Lonchura striata: one gene and its partners. The protein of the gene in region 3 binds, or shares a complex with, the protein of the main gene of each other region. Links are inferred from orthologs where the notes say so. Each region holds a gene or a part of one and is shown on either strand. Other genes may lie near its edges. The genes, in order: PPFIBP1, ERC1 and PHLDB2.

Region 1 (7,200 bases), on a different chromosome or scaffold from region 3:
ACAGGAAGATATTAAGCAGTTTTAGTTATGAAGGTATTAAGTGGTTTTATGTATCCTTAATGGACAGCTGCATGTACACATTCCACTCAAGAGGAGTAAACAAAACAAAACTTGCCTGAGCCTTCCAATAAACCTGTTCCTTACTTCTGTAAATTTAGAGATGTGGTTTGGCCAGGCAGAAATGGGCCAGATCATAATTGCACACTTTAAAGCAGCCACATAACCTCAGTTCTGCTTTGAAGCCCTGACAGTCACCCGGGTAAGTACGAGAAGAAGCTGTCTCAGATACACCAACCTCACTTGCACATCACCATTTACCAGCTGAGGCAAAAGTTACCAGCACCTCCTTGAGGAAGGGCATGCAAATTCAGCAGTGGGACAGGAGCTTTACTGACCACCCCTCACACCACAGGATGCTTTATCACCCACCTAAATCCTGCCTAATATTTGGCTCCTCCTTTTTACTGCAAAACAGCAGACTCCCCAGTCAGAGGAGGCATTCTGGGGTTTTTGCACTCCTTTTGAACCACCTAGGGAGTCAGGGATATGTTTTTGGAACATCTGTCCCAGATTGGGGATCTGGTCTCCTCTCTGTGCTGCCTCCACCTTCCCAGAAAAACACACACAATGCACAACAAAGAAAATCAGTCAGTTCCTCAAAGGAGTTCACACAGCTCCCCTGTGCTCAGCAAGCCAAAGGCCTGGTTTGATGCAATCGCAGCACAAGAAAGTGACTAAACCTTCGCTGGTTTCAAAGCTCTGCAGGGGAAGGATTTCTACTTCAACTGAAAGTGTTCCTCCAGGTGGGGAAAGAAACATCGCAGGAGCCCCACCTGGGTGGATTAAAGAGACTAAACCTCCTAAAGGACTCTGCACCGAGCAGCTCATCACACACAGCTCTGCCTGTCCTCAGGCCACCCTGAGCTGGGCACTGAGCAGTGACCAGACTTTGTCCTGCTCATCTCCAGGGACCAACGGGACCAGCCAGGCCGGCAGCACCACCTGGGAGCCTCAGCCCAGGGAATGGCCGTCATGCCAGGAATGCCAACAATTACCTCCTGCAGCCAGGGGTCACAGGCAAAGCCTCCCCAAGCACCTCCACTGCCATTTCCAGCGGCACCCTCTCCTTCCTGCAGCGTGTGTCACACTGCCCTGGCAGCACAACCCAGAAAGGAAACGCGACTCGCAGCTAAGAGGAAAAAGATGATTTTCACCACGGATCCCTGCCCCATGGGACAGCCCTGGTTTCAAGGTGCTCCACCCCGTGTGTCAGGGGCAAGCAGAGCCTGGACCTGCTGCAAAGTGCACAGGACAAACCAACTTCAGCATTCCTCAGCACAACTCTTGCACCAGATGCAGCACCTCAGCACAACTCTTGCACCAGATGCACCAGGGCTCAAGGCAGGAGATGGGCTGCCAAAGAGGGAACCTGCTCCTCAGAGCCCCCCTCACAGCCAGGTGAACAGGTGGAGCTCCCTTCAGGGAGGAGAGAAACACCAACAACTTCACCCTCCTGGCATGGGAACATCAATCCTCATGTGTGAGCACCACAGCACTCCACTGACAGTCATTGTCACTGCCAGCAGCTGACCTCTGATACAGCTTCTCAAGAAGCTGTGCTAAATCCTAAACTCCACTGGGATGGGTACTAAGCTCAAGGGAGTGTTCTGGCTCCTCATTTCTTAGTGATGTGAAGAAATTAAGAGGCCAAAATCTTTGCTGCACTTGGAACTGAGAGTTCAAGCAGATTTCTGCTTTCCAGAATGCTTCTCAAACCAACCTGCCATGCTGCCTCACTGAGACACCAGTTTTACTGAAACCTCTACTTACATCCTTCACAAAAGTAAATCCTCAAGACACAGCTGCTCCCTTTAATAGAGGCAATAAATCCCAAGCTGACACTGGGACATCTTCCTCCCCAAAGCTCCACGGTGTAAGCATGGAGAATATTCCCACTCCGTGCCCCGTTTCTGCTGTTTACTTTTGGAATGCAGCGGCACTTGCATTGCTCAATGTGCTGCCAGTGCAGTCGCACAGAGCTACACACGGGCTGCGGGCAGCGGCTGTGCCCGGGCCAGAAGGCGGAGAGCTGCAGAGCCTCTGAAGGCTCAGGCACAGCCGAGCCCGGCCTGAAACTCTTCCTGGTGCTCCTCACTCACACGAGGGAGCACACACGTGTTACAGCCCAGCCCAGCCTCGCACACCAAAGCGCCCCTTCCCCCAGAAACAGCTCGGAGGTGCAAAGCGCCTTTTCACAGCTCCAGCTGCACCCAGCCCCGGCCTGAGCAAGAACAGCGACTGCAGCTGTTGGGAGTCACGGCTCCAACAGAAACAGACCTCGGGAAAATAATGACAGGATGTAAGAACCCCAGGCCTTAAATCAAACCACATTTGTTAGCTCTAGATAAAACTCATAACTGCAGTTTCACAGCACCAGTGCCTGAAGCTTCCTACCAGAGCCCGAAAAGATTAAACAGGAGAACGTCAACCTCTCCCCAAAACTTCGCGAAAAGTTACATCAGGTCCAGCACAGAAACAAGGCACAGAAGGTCGGGAGTGCTGGAAGCGCCGGGAGGTGGCACGGGCACAGGGACAGGCAGGGGACAGAGGCTGGGGGATGTGGCGGGCACAGGGACAGGGACATGCAGGGGACAGAGGCTGGGGGATGTGGCGGGCACAGGGACATGCAGGGGACAGAGGCTGGGGGATGTGGCGGGCACGGGCACAGGGACAGGCAGGGGACAGAGGCTGGGGGATGTGGCGGGCACAGGGACAGGCAGGGGACAGAGGCTGGGGGATGTGGCGGCGCAGCCTCCCCGCTGCCCCGCTCCGGGCACACGCGGCGCTCCCGTCCCCGGGCCGGCTCCGGCCCCGCTGCCGGGGCCCCGGGCCATGGCGGCGGCAGAGGAGGAGCCGCCGGGGCAGGGCACGGCGGGGCTCATCCCGCCGGGACACCGAGGTGCCGCAGCCGGCTCCGAGCGGTCTCGGAGCGGCTCCCGCGAACTTCCCTTACCTGCGGCCGAACCGCGCGGAGCCTCCGGGGCGGCCGCGCCTCCGCCGGCTCCGGGCAGCCCCCGCCGCCGTCCCGCCCGCGCCGCTCCGCTCGGTGCCCGCCCCGCTCCGCCCCGGGACGGCCCCGAGCCGCCGCTCTGCCCCGCCCGGCCGAGGCGCCGCCCGCCGCCGCTCCCGGGCCGGCCATGAGGGAGCCGGCGTGGGGCGGTGCGAGCGGCCGCGCTCCCCGTGCCCCTCACGGGCCGTCAGAGAGCAGCGAGCGCAGCCCGGGACTGCGCAGCACAGCGCGAACCTCACCCGGTTCCGAGCGACACGTCCAAGCTTACAACGCCCCTGTGACTCCGCCACCTCCGGGTGCTCTGCCCGGGACCCCGACCGATGTCCGCGGTCTGCTGCCCGAGTTCCCCCGAGCCGCTCCTCGGCGGGGGAAGGAGGCGGCACCGAGTGACACCCCGGGCAAATCTGCAGTGCCATGCCAGCGCTTGGCCGCAGGGCTGGGGATAAACATGGTGCGGGTTTTAGTGCAGCCATCCGTGCTACTTCCGCAGGAGCGTTGCTCTCATTTATACAGTGCAAGTGACTCCGTGCACTGCATCAACAGCCTCGCAGCCACACCGAAAACCAGCCTTGGCTTTACCGGCTCCATGGCAGAAAGGCCTGAGATGCTGCTCTCTCAGGAGTGGAGCCACACAAAGAACAGACCCAGGGGTTCAGCCAACCAACTCTCAGTTTTGTTTGGAGTTGCCTCAAAGCTCTTCCTCCCACCCCTTCTCTAAGCGCTGGGTGAGAGAAAACTTGTCATGTTTTGTTCGTGGAAAAGACAATTTGCTTGTGTTCTGTTCCTGACCATAACATGCAAAAATGTGGAAGTTTCCAGTCAAAATGGAAAAGTTTTGGTGATGTGTTGAAAGCAAACGTTTTGAATTCCCAGCAAAAGTGGGAAGGTATAATTTGCTTTTTAAGCACAGTTTGCAAAGGACAAGTCAATCCAAACCACTTTTTTTTTGGCCACACAAGCTCCAGTGTGTCTCAGGTTAAACAGCAGGACTGAATTTTAGACTATGAGAAAAGAAAGGCAATTTAAAAATACCTGTTTTTTTAGTGTCTTCTATTTCTAGTACCTCTGTTTCAAAACTTTGGTGCCTACCTATGGTTCTGATGCTCTGCAGTTGGTCTTTTTGCTCATTTTCCTCAAATTTTTATCAGTTCTCCAGCAAATGTTACCAGTTTGCTGGCAGCTGATGGGTGAGTGCTGATCACACTCCAGGTCACACCAGGCTGAATCACAGGGATCCCACTCCAGCACTCCATCCTTCCTGAAATGGCTGGGCTTGGACTTGCCCAATAACAAGCACTCAGAACAAATATGGATCTACTGTTCTTCAGCCTTTGTTTTTTGTTTTTTTTTTTTTTAATTGAATATTCTGTTGATTGTGTTTTTTGAATTTTCAATTAAGAAAGTAAAGATCTTTTAAAAAACCTAATGCAAACCTTCATTTGTCAGGATGGCACGAGGGAGATCTCTGAAAACAAATCTTAGCAGACAGAACATTTCGAACAACTGTTTGGATTCTTTCGTCCAAGAAAATACCTTTGCAAGTTAAGACAAATCTCTGATAAGGCTTTCTGGTGTGCTGATCTCTCATCTCCCCAAGTAACTTAGCCCTTTTTGCTCCAGGCTGGTTTGCAAGGAATGGTTGGTTGCTTTTCTTCACCTTTGTGGAAATGCAGGAGCCTCTAAGAAGGCGAACAAGTTGTTGGTCCCTCCTGTGAAGGCTCAGGGAAGTTACAAGGAGTAAGAGCATTTTCCAGCATTGTTCACTCCATGAGGAGGTGAAGGAAAAGAGCTTTTCCCTCACTTTGCACTGAGAACAATCACCGTCTCCGTGGTTACAAATCAATAAATGGCATTAAGCCCAGTATTTCAAGAGCTGTCAGAGGCATTTTGAAGGAGCAGTGTGCACTTTCTAACAGGATTTTCTTTGGGCAGTACATCCCATCTCCCACACACACGGCATGGTACAGCCAGGAGTAGTGTCCTAGTGTAGTTAATTTTCAGCTGGGTCACTGGGGTGAGCACACAAGCTCCAAGATCCCTGTCACAAAGCAGGTGATTTTAAGAAAAAAATCTTCCCTATTCAGGGTGCTGAGGCCCTGGCACAGGTTTCTCATAGCAGCTGTGGCTGCCCCATCCCTGAAAGCATCCAAGACCAGGCTGGATGGGGCTTGGAACAACCTGGGATAGTGGAAGGTGTCCCTGCCCATGGCAGGGTTTGGGAACTGGATAATCCTTGAGGTCCCTTCCAACCTAACTCATGCTATAATTCTATAATTCTATCAGTGCTAGCTCACGAGGAAGGTACTGAAGCACAATAACAAGCCATGTCCATCACAGCCAATTTTTAACAAATTTTTTTTTGTAAATAAATGCAGCACTTCATTGGGCCCCAAAGGTTTTCCTTTAGACCAAACTCATTCCCCAGAATACAACAGCTGAAAGAGCTGAGGGATCTCCTTCCCAAAGAACAATGGTTTCCCACCCAGGCTGTGCATGGCTTTCAGGACAGCTGAGAAAGTGGACTCAGCGAGTCACTCTTTTTATTCCCAGCTGGGTGTTAACCCTGCAGCTGAGCCAGGGTGTTTTTAGGTCAGGGCTCCATCACTGACTCTCCTGGCACAGTTGTGTCAGTCAGGGCTGTGATAAGATCCTCTGAAGGCAGAACTGTGCCAGCAAAAGCACCTTGTGCAGATAGAGGTATAAGCAGAGAAAATGGTGCTTTTGTCCTGGCAGCTTCTTTCACAGGAGGAAGCTGAAATTCACTCTCTCAGCAGCAGCAGCAGAGTTTTAATGTTAGAAGCCATTACCTTGGAAATGTTTGCTCTTCTGACCAACTATTGTAGCTGAGCTGAAAGCCAAGACAGCTTTGACAGCCACCTGAAGTATCCTGATTGTTAAATACTCAACAGAGCAAAACTGTTTTGGCCATGAACTTTAGTGTGACACCATGTTCAGTCCTGGGACAAAGCGCTGCACAAACAATTTCTAGCTGTCAAATCCATACCTTCTAGCTGTCAAATCCTCATGTTTCAATTCCCCTCCAATCCCTTCCTAAAAAGGACAGGAGAGATTCAGTGCCCAAAGGATTCCTAATCCAGGGCACCTGAAGTACAAAATGCTCCCAAACTGTACCCCCTAAACAGTCAAACTTCTGACCTCAGCTGTCCCATTACTGGCTCTTCCCACAGTGTTTGAAAACACAAGGAAAAGCCCTGCACACTGAACCTGCTGCTGAACTGATGGAAGAGATCCTGCCCTGTCTTGGCTCTGCTGCAAAGTTTCTGGTCTAAAGTTTCTGTGTCCTGAAGTTTCTGGTTTCAACCCCCCAAAAAGCAGAAGGTCGGTTAAGAAGTGACCAACCCGCCCCAGTGCTTGGGAGCATTTCAGGTGCCCAGTTTCAGGTGATCAGTCTTGTGTATTGATCTGGAATGTTGTGTAATTATCCCTAATTATCCCCTGAAAATCAAGAAAAAGCAAACCCAGTTCCATTTCCAGTGGACAAGGAAGCTTTCCATAAAATTTCACATACCTGTGAGGATTGTATTTAGCTGCAGAAACCTTTCCAGCATGAACCTCAGAGATGTGTCAGTGTGGATCTGGAAATCACAAAGAGCAGTGTTACAAATCAGAAGATGCTGCATATGTTATGTAAAATGCAAGCAAGAGAAAACCTCCTGACATGAGCACGAATCACATCAGGCTCAGCTGGAGGAATGCATACCATGGCAATAGCATAACTGCTTGAAAAGATTGGGTGTTCCAGACCATTGTCCTCCCATTACTGTGAATCATTGCTGTCATCAAAAGCAGGACAGGAAAGGTTACACTTCAAGAAAGTTCTACATTCTTAAATTTCTGCAGGCCTACCAAACATTTTTTTTCTTCTCCCTGGAAATCTCACTAATTTAGGTATAAGTGCACCTTAACTGGGCTGAAATCCTCATGAGGTTCACATGTACTTGTTACAGCATTCTCTCAATTTCAGTATCAGCAGATAATCGTTGCTTACACTCAGGAGAGGATTTCTGGTATACTCAGTACTTGATGGAGCTGAAGAGAAGCCCTTTGAGTACTCAAAGTATTTAACTTCAAACACAGGAAAAAATGTTCAGCAGAGGAGTCAGGAACTG
Region 2 (7,854 bases), on a different chromosome or scaffold from region 3:
TAAATACTATGTGTTTTTACCCATGGCTATTGTTCTCTTCCCTACAGGTAGCATGCAACCAACAACCCACTTCCTAATAGCAGAAATAAAATGTTAAAAGCACTAAAGATTTTCAGAAGCCCAGAAGTGCCTAGAAGCTCTAGTGAACCCATGCAGACAGACAGCCTAAAGTCACCATGGGCAACATCACACTGCAAGGCAAAGCATGCTCCAGCTACAGAAATTCCATCATAATCTCACCCTGACAACAATGCTGGCATATTGACATAGCCCACGTGCTACAAAACACCACTATTTCTAAATCAGCACTGGATTTTCTAGGATCTCCTGCTCTACCACTGCATGCCAGAATTAAACTCTTGGCTTAAACAGGCAGCAATGGACAGAACCCTCCTCACCTCACTGGCTGCCCTGTTGCAGCAGGGTGGCCAGCAAGGGTCAAGAACCCATACTCTGGGTTTAGTTCTAGTAAAGTTCTATTATTTAAAAAGCCACATGCATCCCTTCACACTTACATTTCTGACCAAACCATACTCAGCTAAAACAAGCCAGACCCTTCAAATACAACACAATTCTCCAGTGGTTTAGCCAGGTAAGAGCTGTAACAAAATTCTCACCCTAGAGAGGTTTTCAGGGGAACAGGCTTGAAAAGAGGGAGGGGTGAGGGGATGAGAGATAACAATGGGAGAGTATCCTGCTTCACACAGTAAGAAATAGGGGCAAGGAACTCAAGCACTGGTCACAATAGCATGGTGAACTATTTCTATTCATACAGCAGCAGGCAACTGCTACCAGGAACTGACAAAATGGTAGATTCAAAGAAAGAAAAAAAAAAAAAAAAAAAAAAAAGATAAAAAAAAGGAAAGAAAACAAGTAAGAAACCCACTAAATGCTAAAGACCCCTCAAAGAAACAGCCGGGGTTTCTCTCATCAGCAATATTTGCAATTTAGTAAAAGGGTATAGGCCACATAAATACCAAACCTGCCTTTTTTGCTAATCAGGCTATTAGCCACATATTACAGATGAAAAGTTACGTGAATGGAATCTCAAAAAAGCTCATGACAGGATCAAATAGAATGCTAAAAATTATGAACAACGTGATGCTTTAATACAGTCTAGAGAGCATGCTTTCTTTAGTTCAGGCTTCTGCTAACATCCCAGCAGTGATTTAAATACAGTTGAATTGGTTTCCCAGAAGTGACAGAAGTTCAAATTATATCAAAGATTTGATAAACTCACATTTAATTCAGCAGATCCCAACCTTTTTCTAGCTGCAGCCTGATGGATTCAGACAATTCCAAATTTCTGGATGATACAGTAGGTGTAGACTTGACTGCTCTGGGAACTGCTGTTCTGTGATAAAGTTCTGAACTGTGCTTCCAGAACTGAACTACATTCAATACAGCTGTTAACTAAATAATCACTGCTTTCATTACTGAAAAAATCCCCTATTTTACTACCAACTCTAGTCACAGCAGGACGGGCAAGGTGGTGATTTCTCTCTTCTTATTCTATTTGGAATGGCTCTAAGGGTGCTGACTCATAACTGACCCCGAATTGGGGCACACATCCGAGCTGCTGCAGTTTCCAACACAAACTCCGGTACCGTGTCAGGCTGTAGCTCAGGAGGAGATGTGTGTGCAGCCACCTACGGCTACAGACGCAATAATCTCAGGGAGCAAAGGAGGGCAGGCAGCTGGTGCAGGTTATTGCTGCAGACATCCTTGCCCAGTTGGCCATTGTTTGAGAATCACAACCCCACAAACAAACCAGACAACTTTCTGCGGTTACAACTTGTTGGATCTGAGGTAAAACGCAATCCAGCTACAACCACCCTGCATATTTGAGCATGGCCCCCAGAATGTGCTGGGACAAAATGTAAAACACTTGTTCTTCAGAACAATTCTGGTTTTATCCATTTGCTTTCCATTCTCTCTGCTTGTGTATTGCTTCTCACCACCACCAGCACCTCCATAGGTGTTTCTTTACATCTTTGCATCTCCCAGTCTCTCCCATTTCCACCGGGGCTTCCCTTTAAACCGTTTCACACTGTATCAGCACAAACCATAACATGAAACTTCCAGAGCGCACGTAACATTCCAGGTTAAATAAATTGTGTGCTTCGTAAGTAACCTCCAGAGCTCGCACTACAAACCAGACGGATGTGGAAGGGCAGCAACTCCTGACACAGGCTTCAGGATGGCAGCAGACTCCGAAACAAAGCACCGTGTCAGCTGACAGCGGCTCATAGTAGATACAATAAAATACGCGAAACTGACCAGGCAGCGCTCACAGAGAAAACATAAAAAACCCAGCACCGCCGCAAGGTCTGGGCAGGACGACAGCGCTCAGCATTACCTCGGATGAGGTGACTGAGATAACAAAAGCGTGCGCTTCCCAAGGACAGGCTGACTGAGGAGGGGCGGAAAAGCACGGCCGGGAAGGCGAATGGGCAGAGCAGGAACGACCGCCCGCGAGAAGCACGACCGAACCCCGCCCGGCAGGACGCGGGCCCGCGGGGCGATGCAGCCGGCCCGCCGCGCTCCCGGGGCCGGGCCGGGGCCACCCCGTCCCGGGCGCTGACAGCGTGCGGGGCCCGGCGGGGACAGGCCGCGACCCCCCGGCCGCCCCCTCCCTCCGCCCGGCCGCAGCCCGCGCACCCCGGGGCCGAGCCGCCCGCGGGCCCGCACCCACCTGCGCCGCAGCTCCGCGGCCACAACCCCCGCCGCCGCCGGACCCCGGCCGGCCGCAGCCCTGCCCAGCGCGGCGCTGCTCCCGCGGCTACCGGCGCCTGCAGGCCCCGCCCCGCCCCGCGCTCCCCCCAGCGGACGGCGAGGCGCGCCAACCCAACCCGACCCCCCCTCACCTGCCTGTCAGCCCGCGGCGAGGGCACGGCACGGCAGGGGCGGCGCTGGCCGCGCTCCGCTCCGCTCCGCTCGGCTTGGCTCCGCTCGGCCCGGCTCGGCTCGGCTCCGCTCCCGGCCGCTTCTCCTCCGCCGCTCCCTCCCGCGCCCCCGGCGCGAGACACGCGCAGGCCCCGCCCCCCGGCGCGCGAGCTCGCCGCGCGGGGCTTCCCTCGGCCCGCCCCGCCCCGCCCCCGCCCCCGCCCGCGCGCGTCACCGCCCGCGCGCGTCCCCGGGGAAGTTTGGCTCCTCTCCGGCGCCGTAGCGGCCGCTCCGCGCGGGAACTGCGAACAGGCCGCGGCCCGGCCCCGGCACTCGGCGGGCAAGGCCCCACAGAGCCTGGGAACCCGGCCCCACGGAGCCTGGGAACCCGGCCCCACGGAGCCTGGGAACCCGGCCCCACGGAGCCTGGGAACCCGGCCCCGAGCCGCGGTCTCCCCTGCGGGCGGCTGCTGAGTGGCCTCGGCCGGCGGGCCAGCGACCTGCGTCAGGCCGGCGTTCCTGAGGGAGCTCGGGCCGACAGGCACGGACCCCATCAAGAATCCTTCCAAGTTGGATTTGCTGCGATTTCAGGGCGTAAGGAAGGACCAACAGCAGCACGGACCCCATCAAGAATCCTTCCAAGTTGGATTTGCTGCGATTTCAGGGCGTAAGGAAGGACCAACAGCAGCACGGAATTCCTTAGCCCTTATTCCCAGGGGACGCTGAATTGAGAGATGATGTCAAGTGGGCTAGGTCTGTCAGACTGCGCAAGGAACGATCCTTATTGACGTGTTTAAATTCGTATCTCTTTGCAATGAATACAGCTTATATTGTAATTATAGTATTTCGTCATATTATATATTACATATGTTTTATATCTGATTTATTATTATATTTTGACATTGTATATATTGCATTTAATTACCGCTTATATTTTAATTCGGACCTCTGGCAGGCTGATATCCACTGAGGTCTCAATAACCTGAACTTCCCTTTCTACTGTGGAAGCAGAGAGTCTATTTTACATTAATTTCTGTAGGCTTATATTGTGCACGTAAGTGCATGCTACAGTATCTAAGGCCTTCTGTCAAGCCTAAGGTATCCCCCCGAAAAGGAAATAATTTTTACTTATCTTGCTGGCTAAGAAGGCAGAAGGATGGAAATAGATACAGGCTTGCCCACGCCTCGGGTATCCTGCCAATTTCAAGTGTAAATGAATTTCCATTTAACAATAAGCAAGTGTCAACGTGGAGCAAAACAGAGCCTGAGAGCTTTAGGTTTTTCATCCCAGTTTAATTAGTGTGTCATCTTAATACGGTCTTGCTGCCAGAAGTGTCAGCTGTGCCTGTGAGGTGTTACTGTTTCATACCTGGAAAAAAATTAGTATGACAGAGTTGTTCTCTTTTCTTTCAGTTCTACCCCTTGGTTATTGTTTATTGTTAAAAGGATTTTTTTTTAATAATATCAAAAATATTATTTGTACAGGAGTACCAGTCAATCCCTTTAATGAAATATTTTTATTAGGTTGTGAGTAAATGCAAATGAATTAAATAATGTGAGAAATTAAATAGTATTTATATTCTTGGAAAGCAAATGTATTTCAAATTTACAATTGTTTGGAATGACCTGTCTCCTAGGATGCTGTTGGTGCATTTTTAACTAAGGAAACTTTTTTGGACCTCTGTAAGGCAAAAATTGCAATGGGCAGTGAAACATCAAAGAAAATTACGTAGCGAAGGGGTAACTGCACACACACCACTGCTATTAAAGCAAATGTTTGGAGGCATAACCAGCAAAATTTGAAAAATACGCAGGCTACAACACAGCAAACACATGCTAAACAAAGCAGTTTGGGCTGGATTTGTAATTATTGGGAAAGCAGGCCCCTAAACAGCTTCCAGCAGTTACATTGATTTTCATGAGCTTGTGGCTGCCTGGCAGGAAACAGCACAATGAGTAAGGAGGTGAGTTTCTCATCCTGTGTCCCAAAAATGCAGGAATTGCCCAGGTAAGTTTTTTTTCAGATGTTAGATGTATCCAAAAATTCTTAAATAGAAACACACCCCCACAAATGCACTGTTACACTTCCAAAATTATATAAAAGTAAGGAAGAAAACTTTACCCTGTGCTCATTAAACTGTTAAAAAAGTGGAATCAGAAATAGTGTTTTCTGTTCAGTGTAGGGAGGATCATGATCCTAGACATGCCAAGAGTAAATCTAGCAGTGCCTGACAAATAAAAGAGTCGAGTTGTTCTTTTGGAGCCACACAGATTCCAGTGGAATGAGTGGGGCTGAACGGAGGTGTGCATCTGACGTGCTGTAACTGAGCAGGAATTGTCAGAGTGGTGCTTGTATGCCTTGAAAGCAAATATATTTAAACTACTGCGGGGAGCTCAAACATTCTATCTTACACCTTTTCTCTTATTACAGAATATGACCTGAATGAGTGAGGGGCATGAAAAAGGCACTGTCATCACGTGAGGCCAGCTGGAGTTGCAGCAGACACTCAGTCTCCTGAGCTGCCCCTGCATTTCCATGTTTAACCTCTCAGTGAGTATCTTTTCCTCTGGTCAAAATTAACAGAACATTACCTCGCTTTTCTCAAGTCATCAAGGTTATTTAATTAGTGATATCAGAGATGAAAACTGGGGAGTTCTATTGTGTACACCTTATCCACAAGCAACCGCATCATCTCTTTTCCACTCCTTGTAAACTGTGGAATAGTACAGGCCTGTCTTGGTTAGGAACATCTACCCCATTACACTTGAAAGAGGTACTTCAGGTTTGTGTTAAAGCAGCCTTTGCATAACAGGTAAATCGGCTTATAAAATAGTCTGGGCTTCTCAAAGGAAAGAAAACTCCACAGAAATATAAAGCTTGTAAAGTTTTTTTTGATGTTTTCTTAGAGTAATACCTTAGGTTAAGTATGTGGCATTATCTTTAGTGCTTGCTAAATCACACTTGCTGCCTGTGTAACTGTTTGCTCTTGCTGGGCTCAGTGGAATTGCATTTATTGAAAGAATGTTGAAGATCTTTACTCAGCAGACCAAAGCCTCTCAGAGAAGGAAGCTTACCAGACAGAGAGGGCAAGGATGAATGAAAAGCCCTCTGGATGTTCACAGCCTGTGCTGAAGTCCCTTCTTAGCTTGTGGGATGCTGGGATTAATTCCGTGGAACAGCCGTGTTCTAGCTGAGCATTGCCCAAGCTGCGGTGCTTGCACAATGCACAGTATGCAAGCTATTCTGAAGTGATGCAAAACTTCCTGCTTCCACCTCACAGGTGAGGAGAGCTGGGCACTGGCACTCATACCACAGGATCAGAGCACAGAGCATGGTTCAAAAACCTGATTTGTCAAGGCAGAGTGGAACTGATAGGAAAAGACATGATTTAGGAGCACAGTAAATTTGTGGGGGGTAATGGATAGTAGGATAGAAAGGTGCGTGAGGAAGTTAGAAAATTAGAAGTTATGTCCACACAATCATGGTAGGTGGTGTTGCTGCTGTAGCCCCACAGTGGTAGATATACTTGAACAGATTAGGTTTAGGATTAAGTTCAGGATTATCAGTTCTGGAAGATTGGTTTATTTCCTGCACAAGAATTTGTGTACACACACATTTTTCTCAGCAGTGCTCAGTTTCAACACCATGCAAATATACCTACTTGTACAGTGCTGTTGAAAATTAGTATTTCATATCCAATTTCCCAAACCAGAGATTGTTTTTTTGCGATTATGTACCCAATGTGTTCAAATTTTGAAAGACAAGATCAAAATAGGTAGTAGTCAAAGCTGGTAAGTTTCTTTACCTGTTCTAATGTGTCAAGGCAATGCTTTGGAGCACAGTGCAGTACCTCTAGTCTTATGTGGACTCCTTCTCAGTGACAAGAAAACTTCCTGAGAACATTACCAGCTAAACTCAGAAGAATTCCCTGTAAATAATAAACAATGTCTCCATTGCCACAGAGATAGCAAATTATAATTTGTAGGCACCTTTAAACTGATAAACTGCTTGTATCATCCTGCATATTCAAATGCATATTTGAACTTTAGTTTTTAGTCTTTCTGGTTTAAAAATAGGGCATATTTTAACACTGATTAATGAGGCAGGCAGCCTCCTGCCACAGCCCAGAGGGTGTCTGAGGCTCTTCGGCACTCCAGTGAATAGTTTATTATCTACTTCAGCATTAATGTTTCATGCAAGTTAAAATGTTCTGGGGAGAAGACAGGGTAGTGAGGAAACAATATTCCAGTGAGGAGTGGAAACATCTTGCCTTTCCTGGGTCTGGCACCAAGATAGATTTGTAGCTCCATGTGCAGAATTAACTTCTCATTGTTCCCAGCTCCTAATCTAATAATTTTTTATATTGAAGTTCTGTCACTCTGAAAGGGTCAGACAATTGCTTTGAGACACAGGGCTTGGCTATGCTGCACTTCCCCAACTGCAAAACCCCCCACATTGCTCTGATCGAGGGTATGGTTTAAATAATGCTCACAGCTGAAGCTGCTCCTGCAGGTAAAGCCTGAAACTAAGCTCACTTGTGTCTCCTTCACTCAAATTATATTCACACAACTACTACCAACCACTGACAACTAAATTTAGACTGATAATGGTGGACCGTATAAAACCATATAAAAGCTTGAAGGACTCTAACTAAAACCGGTGTTAAGCAATTTTGCATCAAAATGCCACCCACCTGCTTTGCATAAATTGGTCATAGTGTTTGTAGGCAAGTGACATTTTGGTCATTGTTTCTTCCCAAGGGCTCAGAGTGATTAAGATCTGATTGAGGCAGCTTGGGGGTGTGAGTGGAGGCAACAGTATTGTTCAAATTTCAGTTCCCTTGGCCACACACACTATTTATGTCTTCCTAATTGCCTCCCTCCCCATGCAGTGAACTCTTTGCTGAGCAGAGGAAATAGTCTGTTTAAATCACAAGTGTTTCTCCTGGTAATGTTGCTTTCTATTTG
Region 3 (7,548 bases):
AACTGCTTTCCTACTGCTTTGAGGAGCACTGACCAGGGTTTTGCTAGTGCCTGTAGTTTTCAATGTGTTTTCTCACAGACCATATATCAAAAATGCACTTGTGTACAGGAAAAAAACACTTTACTAGCACTGCAGAGAGCTTAGCAGCAGTAGCAGAGCTGGCTGATGGAGCCCTAAGCCACCCCCACTGACCAGTGCACAGCTGATTCTAGGAAAGGGAAGCAATTAATCAGCTGTGAAGACAGAGAACCATACACAAGCTCATAGAGGAGTGCTCTTGTGATTTGAAGCAATTTCTGTGGTAGCAAAAATTCTTTTGATTACTAAAATACCCTATTTAATGAAGAGAGTGCTCTTCTATTGCATTAAATGGTCCAGTTGCTCAATAAAAATGGTTACCTCTGACAAATCTTGTCATGTTTGTATCTTTAGGCCATTATGGAGACAACACTGCTGCTACTTAAATGAGTCATTATGAGTTGTGCAATTATAGACAGAGGGATTTTTTTTTTTAAGGTAACTACTGATTATTAACAGAAAATTAACTGCCTAAATTAGTCTTCCTTTAATGGTAGTTCTGCAACAGAGTTATATTGTGGGCTGGGCAGTCAGCATAAAGGAAGAGCAAACCTCCCAAATGTCCTGTAAATCCAGGCAAAACCTCACAGAAGTGGAACAAAACTCACCTACCAGACCTGTCCCTTAAGCTCTGAATTCAGCTGCAAAAGCAGCTAGTGCCTGATGGTTCTGAGAACAAGCAAAATAATAATGGCCTTTTTTGCCTTGCAATTACAACCCAGTTAATTGTGTACAACTGTGCAAAGGAAGAGAGTAAGGAAATTCCTTTCTTGACCCTTCCAGCAATTGATTTGTGCCCTGAAGCATGAGATTTGATTACTCATGTAACTTATTTTCCCCAGGCACTTTCTTCTTGATAGCTCTTGTGTGACAGTTCAAGAAAGTTTCAGGATGAGTCACAAGAACACTCCACTGGTTGAACCCCAACTTCTTTTATTACTGATATACATTTCTATTGAGTGCCGCATTAAGAGATTTTTAGATTTTTAACTAGGATGACCAGTGAAACTACAGGGTGTGATTTTTTTTCACCAGAATGGTACTGATGAATGCAGTCATCCTCCACGTTGCCTTTCAATTTTGCAGATTCCCAATGAGCCTTAAAAACCAAGATTCTTTCATGACCTAGAATCCAGCCTTCTAAACTGCCTCAAAGTGTCTTTGAGGAAGTTACAGCAGAGGAATCGCTGCTTACTTTGAAGTTTCACCCAAAGTTCTGGTTTTTAAGCTATAAACAAGTGGTTCAAAATGCTCTGGCTACATCCTGGAAAGCACTGAATCATTATGACTTCAGTTGTTGTGACAGGTTTGTTCAAAAAAGGTGCAATTTAATAATCCATTGGCATGTTGCTGATGCTGCTCCAAGAAACAGAGGCTCAGTCTCAAGCACAACTGCTCAGATCTGTTTCTATTCTCATCCATCACTCTAAAGCAAGTACTTTTTGGACGTTTTTCAGAGGATGTAGAGGTGTTTGGGAAGGAAGAGGCTTCACCTGGATCATTTTCTTGATCTGTTTTTAATAAATAATTGCATCACCCCACCAAAGAATGTAACAAATCATAGACTATGAATCCAAATGAATAGTTAAGGCACAAAACTGAAGACACCGGACCAGTTTTGCCACCAAAGCAAAGTCTGGGTGTAACAGCACCCAGTCATCAATGGGAAGCTTTATCTCAACTGACTTTGTCAGTCTGGGAATCCCTCTCCTCCTGCAGGTAACAAAAGGCTGAACCAACTCCCAGCTGTGGGCTCTGGCTCATTTGACAGAAATGCAGCCTTGTCCACAGCTGATGTGGATAAAATCTGTGAAGGTAAGGGACCAGGTAATGCAGAGGTTGTGACTGTGGGTGCCTGCTCAGAGATTACTTCAGTTCTGAAGCAGCTGAAGTGATCTCACCTATCTTACAGAAGCATGGTAACAAAATGGCATTTTATTACCATTTGCAATGCTCCTGATTAAAGCATGCTTTTTGTAAACATTCCAACATTTGATTTCTACTTATATGAATTGCCATGGAAACCAAATTTTTATCGGGCATGCTTGCATTCTGAAGGGTGGAGAATTTTGAAAGCCTCTGTGATATGTTGATGTTGAAGTACAATTGCCATGAAAACTGTTAATGCTAGCTAGATGGACTGTTGAACCCATTTATGACTTGTAGCTCTCGTGCAAGTTTCCATATACTTTTTACTGGCTTTTCTTTTAATAGTAGCATTCTTGTTGGAGCTTCTTTTGCTCCAACAAGAGTTTTCAGGTCTTTAGTTTATGGAGGTTCTCTTGTTTCCTAATTTTTAAGTATTTCCTGCTCATAAAATGTAAGACAAGGTTTTTGTTTTTTTATATTGCCAGACTCTCACCTGTTAAACATTACAATTTACCAAGTTATTTTAGAACCTCAGCTATGGCTGAGTACTTATTATTATTTTGAGTACTTATTACAATTTTAGAAATAAGTCATATTCTGTATTCTTATTTAGTTTGCTGAAAAGAAACAGATGATACTGATTAAGACAAAGTGTTCACAGCATACAGGTAGCAGGGAAAACATATGATCTGCCTTACCCAGCTTTGCTGCCTCTTCACCTACTAGGTAGGAAATAAGTGAAGGCAAATTTCAGCCAACATATCACAAGTTCTTCAGAGCAACTGTTTGACTGCAAGAGCAAAGTTGCAGCTTTCCATACTCCTAGGCTTCACATTCCCTAGGGAGATTTTTGCAGACTATTACTTACAATTTTTCCCACTTAAAAGGAAAAGGAAGATCATGTGAGATGAAGGGAAGGCTGGCTGCTTTTGGTTCTGGCTGTGGCAAGGCTAAAAGTAATTTTCAGTTCTACTAACTGTGAGCATGCCCTTAACTCTGCATTTATTACACACATATGCCTTTATTTTTTAAGTGCCTTGCTTGCTCGGTGAACAAAACAGAAGAGCAGGTTCAATGCTAGCGGAAAATGAAACACTGGGATGTTTGTGAGAAGAGACCATCTAGGTTCTGGCCTTTTGGAGTTATTAGTCTCAATGCTTGTCTTTTTATAGTAAACCAGAGTAGACAGTAGGACAGTCAAGGGCACCTTTTTTAAAATATCCTCTAGTATTGTGGGTTTCACCATACAGATTTTCAGGTACTAAGGAGTTTATATTGTAGTAAAGTCACGGTTCTAGCCGAGTGAAACATCCCCTGGAATACGTAAGGCAGGAAGTGTATCACAGCAAGCTCCCTTCGCTCGTGGCACAGCGGCAGCCTGGCAGTGCCTTACCTGGCCGAGTGCTGGCTGAGCTCTCACCCATCCCGCAGGAGCCCCGCACGGCAGGTAAGCGCTGCTGTTCCCCGATTCCTTCTTTGGGAAACAAACGGGGGAAGGCAGAGTGACGAGGCCACACAGCACGAAACGAGATCGCTGTGCAGGATACTCTGGCTCACTGCCCCGACTCCTCCAGGCTGCCTCGCATCTCTCAGCGCCGGCGTTTCCTTACCGAGCCCGGCACCGCACAGGCGCTCGGAAAGAGAAGCTTTATGCTTATATGCCCTGGGCTGCCAGCACCCAGTGTTCTCGGGCGTGGGACGACCCCTCCCCGGAGGCTTTGTCGCCTTTTCTTCCCCCGTTGTCCCTGCGGAGCCTCCTGAGCCTGGAGCCCCGCAGGTCCGGGCTGGCCAAACGCGGGACGGGCGGGACGCGCTGCCCCGGCGCACACGCTTTGCCCGGCTGATGCTGCTTTGTAGGCTTGCTCTGGTGTGAAACCCCTCCAGCAAGAGCCGGCCGGTCCCACCAGCCCGTTCCCTGCTTTGGGAACAGCAAAGAGCCGGTGGTGGCAGCTCCATCCTTCGGCGATGCACGGGGACTGGGCGGGGGTGTTTTGGGAGCCCCGTGTGTGTACACACGAGGGTGCCTGTGTATTACACATATGCTTTCATGGGTGTGTTTTTCTCAGGTAAGAGGAAATCTTGAATTTCAGGACACCTCAGGCAGAGGCAACAGCAGGGTGTGACCCCGGGCTGGGTGAGCGGCAGGGGAACGGAGGCGAGCGGCTCCGCTCCGGCATCGGGAGGGCGGAGAGCAGCCCCCTCAGCCCCCGCTTTCCCCGGGGATGAGGAGGAGGAAGATGAGGGCGCAGGCAAAGCGCGCCCCAGGCACGGAAAGCGGGGCCCGCGCCCTGCCAGCGCCGCCCTGTTTGCTCAGCTAATCTCGCGGGCAGGAAATTGCCTGGCGACTCATATTCGTGGATCGCGAACAGCTCCAGGGCGGCCCCTCCGGGGACATCCCCGTGCCCCTTCCCCGTTCTCGCCCGTCCGCCCCCGGCTCCGTCCGTTCCCCCCCATCCCGGCTGCCCTTTGCCCGGCCCGCTCCCGCGACCCCGGCCTGAGGGGAGCGAACCATTCCGCCCGCGGGGGCGCCCCGGCCCCGCCGGGGGGCGGGCGCTGCGGCGGGGGGCGGCTCCCGGGGGCGGCGGCGCTCCCGCAGCCGGGCGGGGACCGGGACCGGGACCGGGACCGGGATGCGCGGGGAGCGGCGGCGGTGAGTGCGGGGAAAGCGCCGTCCCGCGGGGTGGGCGAAGCCCTCCCGGGCCGCTCGGATGGAAAGAGGCGGCGGGGCCCCGCGGGGATGGGAAGAGGGTCGCTCTCGGGCACGCAGAGCCTGGGCTGACGCCGGCTCAGCTGCTTGCGACCGGCCCCGTGTTTTGGGCTACTTTTAAGGGAGTTTGTGCCGCCACCACCCCCACCCACTCCCCCGCCTCCGGTCCCTCCGCACGTCTGACGGGTGGGGGCGGTGGGGTCCCCCCTTGCTGCCCGGCTCGGCAGGGACCCCGCAGCTGATAGAGACGGGGCTCCATCTCTTTCATCGCCAGACGCTTCTCTCCCTCTTTGTCCGGGTGGTTCCCCCCGGTTCTGCCGCGTCCCCGCTGGCGAACAAAGCCTCTGCCCCGGGGGCGCCGGGGATATCCGTCCGAGGTCTGAGGAAGCGAGGGAAGAACGGCGGGGCTTGGCTTTGCTTGCTTTGGTTTCCCATCGTAAATAATCTACCTGGTGGAGGGGAAAGACGTGGGACAAGGCTCTTTGTCCGCGGTCCTTTGTTCGGCTGGTGGCTTGTAAAGGCTCCTGCGGCTGTGCGAGGGCTGCGGTGCCCGGCGGGGATGCGTTCCCGGCGCGGAGCCGGCGATGGATGCCGGCTCGGCATCGCCGGAGTTTAGCAGCAGGAGCACGGCGGATCGGCTTGCGGACGGAGATCGGGGCTTTGGGCTCCGTGTCCCCTGACAGATTCAGAGCTCCTGAGTCCCCCCTGGTGTAGCCCTGTCAGCAGCCGGGTGGGATTCGGCGGCGCCCGGAGCGCCGCGCTCGGTGGTGAGTTCAGCCCGGAGATCAGAGCTTTTCTAGGGAAGAGATGTGCTGCCCACGAGCAAAGCGAGCAACGGGCTGGAAACTACGGCCCCCTCTCCTTCTCCTGCCCCAAAGCTGCCTGAGGAATTTCCCCATGTGCAGAAGTGTAAATAGACTGGAGATGGGCTTTCTGCTCCTGCCACTGAGTGCTTGCTTGATCTCACACACATGGCTTTTGTCACCAGTCCCTTTTTCTTCCAAATGCTCATCTTGTCAACCTGTCATCTTGTCTCTGTGCCTTGACTCTGCACGTGCCCGAATCCTCTGTGTCTGCATCTTCAGGGCATCTGGGTGAACATGTTGCCAGTCAGAACATGGTGAATATTTCATTTTTGTGCCACACCTTCACTCTCTTTTGGAAGAAGAGTGGCACAATAGCAGCCTTTTTTGCAAATTGTCATGTTTAGTGAACTTTCTAGTTTCTGTATTCTCTATATTCTTGTGGGTAATGCCCTCAAAAATGAGTTATTAACATGGGAAAGGATCAGAGATGGGAGGAAGTAAGGCATGATAGAATGGAATTGCAAAGGGTGAGGATGGGCTTGCTTTCCCACAGCAGTGTAGGAAAGAAAGGAGATAAAGTGATCAGGAGATGGGAGAGTGCCTGCCTTTGCTGTCATGGGGAGGGGTAGTCTGAACTAAGAGGATTACAGAAAAAGAGATACCTTTAGGGCTGCCAAGTAGTAACATCCTACCTTTTCTGTATAGTTCATTTTACACAGTTCCTTTTCTACACCAGTAACTTATTCTGCTTCCATTTTGATAAATGCTAAATCAACTCATTAGTGTGTCTCTTTTTACTGAGGAAATGGAATTCTTTGCCATCAGCCAGGGCAGGAAGAGTGGTCATTTTTTTCCCGTATCAGTTACTGTCTATACTTATCAGATACAATTATCAACCATATCCTTGGAAGTTGTCAAAGGCATCAGTTGACTATTGTTGAGAAGGAACAAAGCCCATCATGAAAAATTTAAAGTATTTTGGGTTTAGATAGGAAGTGGAGATTGGGTGAGCTAAAGGTTGCAGATCTATCTTGAGGCTGGAGTTGGATGAGAAGGACTGAAGATGTTTAAATGGGAGCATCTTTTTTGTCTTTTCCACTTGAAGATCCAAAGAAAAGCTGAAATAATCAAAGTAGGTGTGGGCAAGTGCTGGTGATGGTTAAGAGATTAATGCTGTGTTCACTGCACATGTGTAGTGTATTATTTCCATTTTAATTTGTTAAGATGAATGGTTAATTCTGGTGTGTAGCAACTGCCAGCAAAGCAAACAGTGTTTCCCACTGAGTTAAACAAGCAGCTACAAGATGATGTTCTGGGTGTTTTGAGCAGGTGCTCAAACATTGTTCACTTAGGATTTGTCTTAGACTGGTGGAGCACATCCAAGATAACACAGAAATCCAAAGGGATTTTTTTCCCTCGTAGAAAGAAGTTCCTCCAGAGACTACAGTGAACCGTGTAAATATGACCAAGTTTGGGTTTTTTATCATGCAGCTGGAGTCAGTTTTTAAGCAAACCACTATATTTAACTTTCCTGCAGGTGTAGCACCTCTGTTCCTCACCCAAGGGAGCTCAGTCCTGGGTGCTGCTGCTGTAAGCTGGCACGGGCAGAGCCATGGCTTGGCAGCACAGCAGCCACGGCGGGTGCCACTCGAGCTGTCACTGCCACCGTGGTGGGTTTGCCAAGCACGTGTGATGAGAAGCATTTCGTCTGGGGACGTGCTTGCTGCCCTGAGAGTGCTGGGAAATGAAGAAGAGAGGGGACGTTTGGAAATATGGGGCAAGCATCCCGGGAAGGAGATAAATCGAGGAGAAATGGATGAGTGGAACGGGAGAGACAGAAGCTGTCGGAATAAGTGGGCACTGGAGAGAACTGATTAATGGAAGGAAGTGACAGGCACAAAGTGGCAGTGAAAGAAATCAGCACAGGGGAAAGCAGATCGTGGGCAAAGGTTGTCCAAGAGTGGGAAAATGCAATAGCTGGGAGAAAAATGGTAATGACATCCAAAAAAAAAAAAAAATCAAGACTGGATGAAGCTGTTTTGATTAGTTTTTCTATTTGCTTAGATTTTCTGGGCCTTACCTACCTGT

What was found.
Region 1: PHLDB2 (region 3) and PPFIBP1 share a complex: the UniProt entries of both Homo sapiens proteins name them as parts of the cortical microtubule stabilization complex. The link is inferred for Lonchura striata from reciprocal best matches to the Homo sapiens genes PHLDB2 and PPFIBP1.
Region 2: PHLDB2 (region 3) and ERC1 share a complex: the UniProt entries of both Homo sapiens proteins name them as parts of the cortical microtubule stabilization complex. The link is inferred for Lonchura striata from reciprocal best matches to the Homo sapiens genes PHLDB2 and ERC1.

The regions. Positions count from the first base shown.
Region 1 is NC_134607.1:1,797,256-1,804,455, forward strand, and holds the start of PPFIBP1 (liprin-beta-1), read right to left. Parts: upstream 3,100-7,200; 5' UTR 3,014-3,099; intron 1-3,013. UniProt on the Homo sapiens protein: May regulate the disassembly of focal adhesions. Did not bind receptor-like tyrosine phosphatases type 2A.
Region 2 is NC_134607.1:12,158,600-12,166,453, reverse strand, and holds the start of ERC1 (ELKS/Rab6-interacting/CAST family member 1), read right to left. Parts: upstream 3,021-7,854; 5' UTR 2,868-3,020; intron 1-2,867. UniProt on the Homo sapiens protein: Regulatory subunit of the IKK complex. Probably recruits IkappaBalpha/NFKBIA to the complex. May be involved in the organization of the cytomatrix at the nerve terminals active zone (CAZ) which regulates neurotransmitter release.
Region 3 is NC_134604.1:3,797,976-3,805,523, forward strand, and holds the start of PHLDB2 (pleckstrin homology-like domain family B member 2), read left to right. Parts: upstream 1-4,546; 5' UTR 4,547-4,597; intron 4,598-5,280; exon of another isoform or gene 5,281-5,421; intron 5,422-7,548. UniProt on the Homo sapiens protein: Seems to be involved in the assembly of the postsynaptic apparatus. May play a role in acetyl-choline receptor (AChR) aggregation in the postsynaptic membrane.